Linked DNA regions of Canis lupus familiaris. Each later gene encodes a partner of the first gene's protein in a complex. Links are inferred from orthologs where the notes say so. Each region holds a gene or a part of one and is shown on either strand. Other genes may lie near its edges. The genes, in order: OS9 and UBE2J1.

What was found.
Region 2: OS9 (region 1) and UBE2J1 share a complex: the UniProt entries of both Homo sapiens proteins name them as parts of the HRD1 complex. The link is inferred for Canis lupus familiaris from reciprocal best matches to the Homo sapiens genes OS9 and UBE2J1.

Annotation. Positions count from the first base shown.
Region 1 is NC_049231.1:2,132,767-2,140,745, forward strand, and holds part of OS9 (protein OS-9), read left to right. Parts: intron 1-3,767; coding exon 3,768-3,978; intron 3,979-4,275; coding exon 4,276-4,380; intron 4,381-4,585; coding exon 4,586-4,686; intron 4,687-4,861; coding exon 4,862-4,913; intron 4,914-5,269; exon of another isoform or gene 5,270-5,552; intron 5,553-5,612; coding exon 5,613-5,701; intron 5,702-5,917; coding exon 5,918-6,196; intron 6,197-6,476; coding exon 6,477-6,666; intron 6,667-6,981; exon of another isoform or gene 6,982-7,585; coding exon 7,586-7,750; exon of another isoform or gene 7,751-7,923; coding exon 7,924-7,979. UniProt on the Homo sapiens protein: Lectin component of the HRD1 complex, which functions in endoplasmic reticulum (ER) quality control and ER-associated degradation (ERAD).
Region 2 is NC_049233.1:48,785,275-48,789,507, reverse strand, and holds the start of UBE2J1 (ubiquitin-conjugating enzyme E2 J1), read left to right. Parts: upstream 1-1,433; 5' UTR 1,434-1,616; coding exon 1,617-1,647; intron 1,648-4,233. UniProt on the Homo sapiens protein: Catalyzes the covalent attachment of ubiquitin to other proteins. Functions in the selective degradation of misfolded membrane proteins from the endoplasmic reticulum (ERAD) and is essential for cells to recover from ER stress.

The DNA.
Region 1 (7,979 bases):
TCTTTGATCCATTTTGAGTTAATTTTTGTATATAGTATGAGGTAGGGGTCCAATTTCATTTTTTTGCACATAGATATCCAGTTGACTCACCATTATTTGTTGAAAAGATGATTCCCATTGAATTATCTTGATAACCTTTCAAAAAATCAAATGAGAATAAAAGTAAAGGTTAATTTCTAGACTGTAAATTCTATCTCATTGGTCTATGTATCTGTCTCTAAGTCAGTACTACACTGTCATGATTATTGTACTTTTGTAGCAAGTTTTAAAATCAGTGTGGGTTTTCCAACTTTTTTTTTTTTCCAGATTATTTTGACTATTTAGAGTCCCTTGAATTTTCATGAATTTTAGGATCAGTTAATTTCCAAAACAAAGCCAGCTGGAATTTGGTGAGGATTGCTATATTAAGTCTTTTAATCTCTGAGGTTGGATATCTTTACATGTATTTAAGTCTTTGACTTCTTTAAGAAATGTTTTGTAGTTTTCAAGCATTTTGCTACATTTATTCCTAATTATTTTCTCTTTTTTTTAAGATTTTATTTATTTATTAGAGAGAGAGCATGGGCAAGGGGGAGGTGCAGAGGCAAAGGGAGAAGCAGGCTCCCTGCTGAGGGCTCTATCCCAGGATCCCAGGACCACAACCTGAGCTGAAGGCAGTCTCTCAACCAAGTGAGCCATGCAGGCACTCCTAATTATTTTATTTTTTGATGCTATTATAAATGGAATTATTTTCTTTTTACTATTTTATTATTTTATTTTTGAATTGTTCTTTGAATGTATAGAAATACAATTGATGCCTATATCCTGCAGCCTTATTGAACTTGGATATTAGTTCTATAGCTTAATAGATTCTTTAGGATTTTCTTTCTTTCTTTCTTCCTTCCTTTCTTTCCCTTTCTTTTTTTTAGTAGGTGCTATACCCAACATGCAGCCCAATGAGCAGCTTCAACTCCCAACCCCAAGGCCAAGACCTGAGCTAAGACCAAAAGTCAAACATTTAACCAATTGAGCCACCCAGGTGCTCCTAGGATTTTCTGTATATAAAATCATCTGTGAATGGAATAGTTTTACTTTTTTTCTTTCCAATATAGATGCTTTTTCTTCCCCCCCCCCCCCCCCCCTTTTTGTCCTGGTCAAAACCTCCAACCCAATGTTGAATGGAAGTGGCAGAAGCAGACATACCTCTCTTATTCCTTTTTCTCTTTTTTGAGAAAGAGAAAGAGTGCAAGCATGAGAAAGAACTAGAGTTGGGGCTGGGAGGAAGGGGCAGAGGGAGAGGGAGAAAGAATCTCAAGCAGGCTCCATGCCCAGTGTGGAGCTGATGTGGGGCTTAATCTCATGACTTCAAGATCATGCCCTAAACTGAAATCACACTCAACTGAGCCACCCAGGTGCCCCATCCTTGTCTTATTCAAGATCTTAGGAGGAAACTATTCAGTTTTTCCACCATTAAGTATAATGTTAGCTGTGGATTTTTAATAAACACTTCTTATCATATTGATGAAATTCTCTTTTCATTCAAATTTGTCGCATGCTTTCATCATGAAGATATGTCACATTTTGTCAATTGCTTTTTCTGCATCCATTGAGATGATCATGTGGTTTTTATCCTTTATTCTGTTAATCATTTACATTAATTGATTTTTTTATGTTAGCCCAAGTTTGCACTCCTGGGATAAATCCACTTGGTCTGGTGTGTAATACTTTTTATATGTTGCTAAATTTGTTTAGCATTTTGTTGAGGATTTGGGGTCTTTATTCATAAGAGATACTGGCTTATAGTTTCCTTTTCTTATTATATATTTGTCTAGATTTGGTATCAGGGTGATAATACTGGCTTTGTAGTATGAGTTGGGGAATATTGTCTCTTCTTTTTTTCTGGAAGAGTTTGAGAGAGATTGATCTTTATTGTTTTTGTTTGTTTGTTTGTTTGTTTTAAGATTTTATTTATTTATTCATGAGAGACACACAGAGAGAGAGAGGCAGAGACACAGGCAAAGGGAGAAGCAGGCCCCATGCAGGGAGCCCGATGCGGGACTTGATCCCTGGTCTCCAGGATCACACCCTGGGCCAAAGGTGGCGCTAAACCTCTGAGCCACCAGGGCTGCCCTTTATTGTTTTTTAAATATTTGGTAGAATTCACCAGTAGACCCATCTGGCCAGGCTTTCCTATGTGGTTAGTTTCTGGATTACTAATTCAATCTCCATACTGGTTATGGGTCTATTCATATTGTTTACTTCTTTTTGAGTCAGTTTTGGTAGCTGTGTCTTTCTAGAAATTTGTCCATTTCATCTAAGTTAATCTGATTTGTTGGCGTGTAGGTATTGATAGTCTTTCTTTACAATCCTTTATTTCTGCAAGGTTGATAGTAATGTTCCCTCTTTCATTTCTGATACTAATTTGAGTCTTTTCTTTTTATTTTCTTGGTAAGTTTAGCTGAAGTTTTGTCACTTACTGATCTTTTCTTTTTTTTTTTTTTTCACTTACTGATCTTTTCAAAACAACTTTTAGTTTCATTGATTTTTCTCTATTGCTTTTTTGTTCTCTAGTTCACTTATTTTTGTTCTAATCTGTGTTACTTCCTTCACTCTGCTTGCTTTGGGTTTAGTTTGCTTTTCTTTTTCTAGTGTTTGAGGTCTTTTTTTCTTTTTTAATATTGTCTTTTTGCAGGGAAAAATTTTAATCCTATGCATACACATACATGTGTACACACACAAAAAGAATATATGTTTCAAATACATAGAAGTACAATTGACCCTTGATCAACAGGTTTGATCTGTGTGGGCCCACTTATAAGTTGATTTTTTTCAGTAAATATATTGGAAAATTTTTAGGAGATTTATGATAGTTTGAAAAAAACTCACAGATGAACCACATAGCCTAGAAATGCTGAGAAAATTAAGTTAGATCTATCATGAATGCATGAAATATAGGTAGGTAGTAGGCTGTTTTATCATTTGCTACCATAAATATACACAAGTCTATTATAAAAAGTTAAAATTTATCAAAATGTATGCACAGACTTATAGACCATATATGGTGCCATTCACAGTAGAGAGAAATGTAAACAAAAGGGTGCAGAATTATATAACAACAGCATAAAACTGTAGAACATACTGTACTACTGTAGTGCTTTTGTAGCCACCTCCTGTTGCTATTGGGATGAGCTCAAGTGTTGCAGGGATCTGCTTAAAACTCCACGACAATCATCTCTGCATGAGCAGTTTGTCTCCATAAATTGCTTTTCACAGTAAAAAGTGATCTCTTGTGGCTTTTGCTATTAGTAGTTAAGTTGGGGAGTCAGAAGTTATGTGCAGATTTTTGACTTGGGCAGGTGGGGAGGAGGGGGAGGTCAGCGTCCCTAACCCCCTGCAATGTTCAAGGGTCAACTGTTTCTGTGTGTATCTCAAATACATACAAGTATGTATACACTGTATTTATATAAAGCAAGAATGTGAAACAAAAATTGGCTCTACAGGGAAGCTGCCTGAATTCAGTTCCCTGTTTTTACCACTTACCAGTGGTCAACCTGACCAAGTCCCTTATCTGCATCAAACCTAAGTTTTTTGAGCCACAAAATTGAGATATTAATCCCTCCCTCACTAGGTTTTTGTGATCATTAACTGAGCTAAAGTACATAAAGTGTCCTATACACAGTGTCTGCACAGAACCAGATACACAGTAAGTGCTGAACAAAAGGCAGCTGCTCGAAGAACGAAAGCTAATCCCTAGTGGTAATAATTTGTTCACCCGTCTGTCCTGGCAGTTCCTCTGTGACGAGGGTGCTGGTATTTCCGGGGACTACATTGATCGTGTGGATGAGCCTTTATCCTGCTCTTATGTGTTGACCGTCCGGACTCCTCGGCTCTGCCCCCACCCTCTCCTAAGGCCCCCACCCAGCGCTGCTCCTCAGGCCATCCTCTGTCACCCTGCCCTGCAGCCTGAGGAGTACATGGCCTACATTCAGAGGCAAGCTGGTGAGTAATTAGAAGAACAAGGAGAGGGGGCCCCTGGATGGCTCAGTGGTTGAGTGTTTGCCTTTGGCTCGGGTCATGATCCCTGGGGTCCTGGGATTGAGTCCTGCATCAGGCTCTCCGCAGGGAGGCTGCTTCTCCCTCTGCCTATGTCTCTGCCTCTCTCTCTCTCTCTGTTTCTCATGAATAAAGATATAAAATCTTAAAAAAGAGAAAGGAGAGGAAGAAAAGACACCAGGAGAGACAAGCGGAAGATAAGGTAGGCATGTGGCCTTGTCCTGCCCACACACTGTTTTTCAGTAGACTCAAAGCAGTATGGAGATAAAGCCCTAGAGGAGCTGCAAGACCTGGAGCCGCAAACATGGGGTGAGGCCCAACCCAGAGCGGTGCCCTCAAAGAGAGGAGGTAGGATCTTCCTGCATCTGTTCCGTGAAACTTCTCCACTTCTTCCCTTCCCCAGTCCTACTGACCTGCACTGACCGTTGGGGGTGGGGAGGAAGTCCTACGGGCCTTAATTCCTTAGTAATAGTGAAGGGGAATGTACCCCATTCTACTTGCTCCCTTCTGTTTCTCCCACCTTTCAGAGTCCTCCCTGTTCTCTGTATCCCAGGTGCACATCCAACCAAGGATGACAGTAAGGAGTCCGATTTCTGGAAGATGCTTCCTGAGCCACAGGAGCAGACCCCTGGGGCAACGGAGATGCCGGCTGAGGTGAGAGCTGGCTTCCCAGCTATTTCTCTGATGAGGCTGACCCTGGGCGAGCTGAGGTCATCATGAGTTGACCTACACCTATCTAGGGAGGCAAGGATCTACCCAGAACCACTGCCTTAAGAATGTGGTAGGTGTGAACGAGCCTGTGGACTTGACTCCGCCCTTTTCTCATCAGGAGCAGGAACCAAACCTTGAGGCCGCAGATCCAGCTCCGGCCCCTCCCCATGGTGAGCAGAACCCTCCACCTCTCCTTTACCGCTTGAATGTATTTTGGGGCTGGTGGGGGTGGGGTGGGGTGGAACTAAACACTGGTGGGGGAGGTTGGGCGGCCAGGCCAGCAGTGAATTCATCTTTATTGAATTGGAGGCAATACTATTTACAGACAGCAATGCTATTCTAGGGAGATAACGGAACTCGGTGGTTCTGCTACTTGCTGACTTTGTAATCCTGGGTGATTGCACTTAACCTCAATTTCCTCACCCCCAGCAGTGGGTAATCCCCCTACCTTACAGGGTAGTTGTGAGGTTCAGTGAGAACGAGTCTGTAGTTCACAGCAGAATGCCCCGAACAGAGTAGACCAGAGTAGACAAGAAATGGTTTCTATTTGGCAGAAAGGAGAGAACAGTATCCAGGGAAGAGAAGGCTGTGGCCCCAGAATCTCTTCCGTAGTCCTCAGAACTGGAGTAATTGCCAGCAGGGCCCAGCAGCGCGGGTGCGAGCAGCGTGTTAGCATCCCCTGTCTCATCTGTGGGTCCACCTTAGGACAGCACCCTCCAGGGGCCTGCGTCGGCCCCTATCTCAGTGACCAGACAGGTGGCTCCCGGACGCAGGGACCATGTCCTTCCCTGGTCTCCTCATCTCCTCTCCTTAGGAAATCAAAATAGAATTTAGGACAGAACTGCTTCATCCCTGCTCTTTCATCTCAGATTTTCAGAACAACGTACAGGTCAAAGTCATCCGGAGTCCTGCAGACTTGATTCGATTGATAGAGGAGCTGAAAGGTGGAACCAAAAAGGTACAGGCCCCTGCTCAACAGAGGGGGAGAACCCGCCTCCCTGCTAGGAGCGCTTAGAGAACGGCCCCTGGAGTGAGCCCAGGAGAGCTGACTCCCTTTCTTTCCTCCTCCAGAGTCCCCCCACTGCCACACTCCAGCCACTGTCTATCTGTGGCCCACACGTCTCTACTGAAACCCCAACTGTCCGTCTCTTTCTCCCGATCCCCGTCCACCTAGGGCAAGCCCAACGGAGGCCAAGAGCAGCCTGTAGGTGAGGCAGCAGAAGTCCCTCAAAGGGAAGCAGAGGAAAAGGACAAGAGTGACATGGATCATCAGAACGAGGTGGAAGAGGAGGAAGAGGAGGAGGAGGATGAAGATGAAGATGAGGATGAGCAGCAGTTACTGGGAGAGTTTGAGAAGGAACTGGAAGGGATACTGCTTCCGTCAGACCGAGACCGGCTCCGCTCGGAGGTGAAGGCCGGCATGGAGCGGGAGCTGGAGACCATCATCCAGGAAGTGAGCACAGCCCTTACCCTGCTCGCTTTGGCAGCCGGCTGCTCCTATGGACTAGGGCAGGCTGGGGGGGCAAAGGAATGAAGGGCGGCCTGCGGCTGGCACAGGGCAGGGAACAGTGTGCTCAGCTGCCACTTGTTTCCTTAATGGAAGGAGGGGACGGTAGGGAAGGGGAGACCAGAGGGAGGGCCAAGACTTAGCCGTTGCTCTCCTGTTAGAGCACGGACCACTGAGCTGCACTCCCCCGCCCCCTGACTCCACTCTCCTGCCTTGGGCATTCCAGACAGAGAAGGAGCTGGACCCAGACGGGTTGAAGAAGGAATCTGAGCGTGATCGGGCAATGCTGGCCCTGACCTCCACTCTCAACAAGCTCATCAAAAGGCTGGAGGAGAAACAGAGTCCAGAGCTGGTGAAGAAGCACAGGAAAAGGAGGGTTGCCCCCAAAAAGCCTCCCCCCAGCCCCCCACCAGCAGGTAAGAGCTGTTGGACAGGGTCCCTCAGCTGGTGTACCCTGGTGGGCATCCCGTTTTGCTCTTCCGAGGGTGTTCACTCCCCTCCATCCTCCTGGAACGCAGCTCTCCTGCCTTCTTCCCACTGCCTCCATCCCTTTGCCTGGTTACCTCCTACTCAGTCATCCCTTCAGGAAGCGGCTTTTAGAGCATGTCTGTCCGGTTTTCTGGCTGGCTCCCGTGTACCCAGCGCCTAGCACTTCCACGGCGCATGGTGGGTGGTCGGTAGAAACTAATGGAACGACTGGGAGCCAGCCCTGTGTGCAGAAGACCACACACCTGTGAAGGACGCAGCGTATCAACAGTGAGCCCCGTGCGCTGGGAAAGGCCCCCACTGGTAGGGTGTGAACGGGCAAGCCTGGCTGGTCAGAAGCCAGTTGCCTGGCAGGACAGACGTGAAGTTATTGCTTCCTCCTGCACCCCTGAGCTCCATGCCACGGGGTCATATGAGATTAGACATTCCAAATGGAATGTTCTGTTTTCACATCTTCCATCCCACCATCTCTATAAACATTAGAATGTCTTTCGAGTACCAGCATGTGGAACAAAACCACAGTTTTCCAACCTGCTTTCCTAAAACAAAACTCCTCCGTTGGCCCAGGTGACCTGATTTTTGCTTCAGAAAACACAGTGGTTTTTCCTGTAGGGGACAGGCAGGATGATTGGTCCAGGAGGGGAAAGGGAGGCTACGGTTAGTGGAGGGAGCTTTATAGGCTGAAGGGGGACGGAGGAAGGGGGCACTTACTCTGAGCCCCGGTTCATCCATGCGTGTGATGGAAAACTGCCAGGACCAGTTGATGGCTTAAGGAGAAGTTACCACCGCAGCCCCTAACCTGGAATCACGGCTCTGCTTTGTGTCTCCCTGTATGTCTCCCCCTCTAAGAGGAGGATCCTGAACACAGAGTCCGGGTCCGGGTCACCAAGCTCCGTCACGGAGGCCCCAATCAGGATCTGACTGTCCTCGAGATGAAACGGGAAAACCCACAGCTGAAACAAATCGAGGGGCTGGTGAAAGAGCTGCTGGAGAGGGAGGGGCTCACGGCGGAAGGTGGGCCCTGGGGCGGGCTGGCTTAAGAGTTGTTGGCAGGGCCTGCTGCCCAAGGTGGAGGGGCTGGGTCCAAGTGGACTGGAAACCTCGCTGGGGACCTGGGAGGCAGAGGGCCCTGCACGGACGCTCCCACCTTTTCTCTTCCTCTCACTGCCCACGTGGCTCCTTTCCAGGGAAAATTGAAATCAAAATCGTGCGACCAGGGGCTGAAGGGGCAGAGGAGGACTCA
Region 2 (4,233 bases), on another chromosome or scaffold:
AAGATTCAACACAAAGAATGCATAAATGAATGAAGCAGGGTATCGGGGTTTGGTTTTGTTTGCATATCTCAGCCACTCTGATTATCCATTTGCGGCTCAGAAAACAACATCATGGAATGGCTTCAAAGATACCACCTAATTCTTATTTTAGATATCCTCCATTTCATCCCTTCCCTCTCCATTTCAGTCTTTACCAAGGGTTGCTGGTACAATTCTCTATGTAACAAAATAGAACTTGTCCAGCCAGATTAACCCTGCTTCACCTCACCTAGAATTCCTCCCTTCCCTCTTCATCCTCTTCATCCTCCCCACCGTGCCAATCCCTCCGTGTCTGCCTCAATTCTCACCCCTTCCTTAGCCTTCGAGAACCCGTATGTAACCCTTTCTCTGAATCCCGCTTTCCACAATGAAGCCTATACTGTGTCCTTTGAGGTTTACCCTTATGTATTTGTACACGTTCCCCCCAAATTCAATGTGACTCGCTGTTTTATTTGACAAGTTATAATTTCTTTCACTCCCCTCCCCAGGCTTAAAAGTACCTTGCACCTAATCACATTACTAAAACAAAAAACAAAACAAAACAAAACAAAAAAACAAAAAGAAACCCACAAACCTAAATTGCTATAAAAATCCTACTGGGGGCAGCCCGGGTGGCCCAGTGGTTTAGCGCCGCCTTCAGCCCAGGGCCTGATCCTTGAGTTCCGCGATCGAGTCCCACGTGGGGCTCCCTGCGTGGAGCCTGCTTCTCCCTCTGCCTGCGTCTCTCTTCCTGTGTCTGTCATGAATAAATAAATAAAATCTTTTAAAACAATAAAAATAAATAAAAACCCTACTCAATTTCCTTTTATTTTTAAAGATTTTATTTACTTTTCCTGATTAAAGATTTTTTAAAATTAATTTATTATTATTTTTTTTAAATTGGAGTTCGATTTGCCAACATCTCGCATGTCACCCGGTGCTCATCCCGCCAAGGCCCCCTCAGCGCCCGTCACCCGGTCACCCCAACCCCCGCCCTCCGCCCCCGCCGCTGCCGCCGCCCCGCGTTCGCTTCCCAGGGTCCACGGGCTCAGCACTGGGTCTTGGCGCCGCACTGGCCGTCGCGACCGCTGTGGGATGGGCTCCGGGGCCGCGCGCGCCCCTCCCCGCCCGCCGAAAGGCGCCTCCGCGCGGCCGCAGCCTGAGGCGGACCCGGGCGCCGCCCGCTTTTGCAGAGCCCGGAGCGACCTCGGCGGCGACCGACCGCCACGAAGCGGCCGCCACGTCAGGGCAACTTCACAAACCCGGGCGAGGGCGGGTGACGCAGCGCCGGCGGCCGCGGCGGGGTGGGGCCGGCGGCCCACGACGAGGCTGACCCGCAGCCCGGGCGCCCCGCTCAGCGACGCCCCGGCCGGCGCCGGCGCCCGCCCGGCCCTCAGGGAGGCGGGGGAGCCGCGGAGGAGGCGGCGCCATCGCGAAGCCCGTGCCCCGCCCGCAGTCCGGGCCGGGGCTGGGCGGCGTCTGCGGAGGCTCCCTCGGCCCGGCCCAATCGGCCCGAGCCGCGCTGACACCCGGGCGGCCGCGGCGCGGAGAGGTGGAGGCGGCGGGCGGGGAGGCCGGAGCCCGGACGGCGATCGGCCATGGAGACCCGCTACAACCTGAAGAGTCCGGGTGAGCGGGGCGGCGGGCGGCGCCCCTGGGCGGGCCGGGCCGGGCCGGGCCGGGCAGGGCAGGGCAGGGCCGGCGCGACCCCCGGCTCCCGGCTCCCGGGCCCGGCGCTGCGGTTCCCTCGCGTCCGCCGGCGCTCGCCGCTCGGCTGCGGGGCTTCGCGCTCTACGCGAGACCGCCGCCTGCCGGGCTGGTGCAGGCCGCGGGGCGGGCGCCCGCCGCCGACCCCGGGCACCGGCCGCTCCCCCGCGGCGCCCGGACTCTCCCTCCCGTCACCGTGGGCGCCCGGTGCTGGGCCCTAGGCTCCTCGCCAAGAGCAGGTGTCACGGGGATGTCCGTGGGCGGCAGCCAGCCCCTGCGGTCCCGGAACGCGGAGCGTCGCTGTCCCTTCGTCGCCGCCACCGGACTTTTATTAGCTGTTTGACTCACTTGGCGTGTGAGGACCGGTTTGTTTGAATTTCCCATTTGCAGCATTTGGGGCGACTGGAATTGCAGACCTAAAGGAATGCTCTGTTGGAAACCAACGAACCAGCGAGCTCAGAAAACTAGTTAGATGAGCCGTGTACTCTGGGGCTAACCATGATTTTTTTTTTTAATTTATTTATTCACGAGAGACACAGAGCGCGCGCGAGAGGCAGAGACACAGGCAGAGGGAGAAGCAGGCTCCACGCAGGGAGCCCGACCTGGGACTCGACCCCGGGTCTCCAGGATCGCGCCCTGGGCGGAAGGCGGCACTAAAGCATGATTTTTGCCGTGACGACTAACACGATGATAGAGCTCGATATTCCGTCATGGAGACTTCCTGTGGTTAGTGCCCCAGCTTCATTCACAGAGCAGCCCGAACAATCCCAGCCTCAAGTTCTTCTCTGGTGCATTTTAAGATGCAAGAAAAGTCAAGCCACTCTCTCCTATTAAGGCAGGCTGGAAATAAACCACTAGGTTTTGTAAGTGGTATTCATTTTATCTGCACCTTGATAAGTTTGTCAGGAGGGAGAAACTCCGCAGTTCAGCTCTAAATGGTAATCCTAGAATATTAGTGATGGTTTGAGCACATATTGCTGCTGCTTTATGTCTTCCTTCCAAGGAAGCGTCTTTTCCGTAGGAATCAGCAAGATTAGCATCCCGATGGAATAGAGCTGACACTGCGAATCTTTGATCTTTAAGAAATACTTAATGTGTAGGAACTCCAGAAAAGTCTGGGGATATTGATCGAACAGAGTGTTGTTAACTTGAGTGCTGTCGGGCTGAGAAATAGTCTTAGCTGACCAAGTGTGTAGAATGGATCATAATATTTGAGGGTGCATGGACTGCTTTAAAAATCTGGTGAAGGCTTTGGGCTTTCCAAGAAATGCATTCATATAATTTCTCTTAAGAACCCCCAGGGGGAAAAAAGGAAAGTAAAAGAAGAAAGAGGGAAAGAAAACCTCCACTTTTAGATTAGATGGTAGGATGCTTAAATTGTTTAGATTTTCATAGATTTAAATGAAACTATGTGGGTAAACATGCATGGTGACTCCTTAGAGGTCACATGATACCAAGTTCCTTAGGACAGCTGAGGGACTTAGTAGAGTGTCCAGAGAATAATGCAAATAAAAATAATAGTGCAGTCTCTGGAACGGACAACTGGTGGGTCCCAAGACGTTAAGAGCACATAGCTCGGGATCCCTGGGTGGCGCAGCGGTTTGGCGCCTGCCTTTGGCCCAGGGCGCGATCCTGGAGACCCGGATCGAGTCCCACGTCGGGGTCCTGGTGCATGGAGCCTGCTTCTCCCTCGGCCTGTGTCTCTCCCTCTCTCTCTCTCTCTCTGTGACTATCATAAATAAATAAAAATTGAAAAAAAATTAAAAAAAAAAAGAGCACATAGCTCACTTTCGATAGGTCATCAGACCTGAGGTTATGAGAAACTTTTAAAATTCTCCAGAATTTTGTGCATTTCCAAAGTATAGGATCTACCAGCTGGCTGAGCTTTGGCCGACATGCCATGTTTGTAAATTGCTTCCTCTTTTTTGGTATCATTTCCTCAAAGATGGTGTTGCTGTTCTATTCGAGATGATTTCTAAAAATCTTTTTTGTTTGTTTGCTTTGTTGTATGGATCATTTGGAGTTCATAGTGAAGGTGAATTAGATGACATATGGGATGCACTAGAAATGCTAGGAGGCACGATGAAAATGCTTCCTTCCTTTGTTTTATTTTCAGTGCTGTGGTATTTTTGGAGCAATGCATATGTGGAAAAAAGTGGTTAAAAGCACTGCACAATGTAAGAGATATAACCCTTTCTCTCTAATGTGGAATTGTCTTAGAGGTATGGATGGTTCAATTAAGAGAATACCCATAACTGGTTAAGGGCCAGTGTGCTAGCATGTGGATGGTAATTTGTTCATTTTGTAAGTGGGAAAACTTAATTTTTTGTGACTTTTCTGGAATGGACTTGTGGCGATGGGCAGAGAGCTCTGTAGAGAGCCACCTCATAGGCCTCTGACTTAGCCTCTCAATAGTTGCACTGCATCAAGCTCCCTGGTCCCTTTTTGGGTCTGCTCTGGCCAAGAAGGCAGTAGGGTCTCACAGTACAAAGTAGGGAGACCCATGTG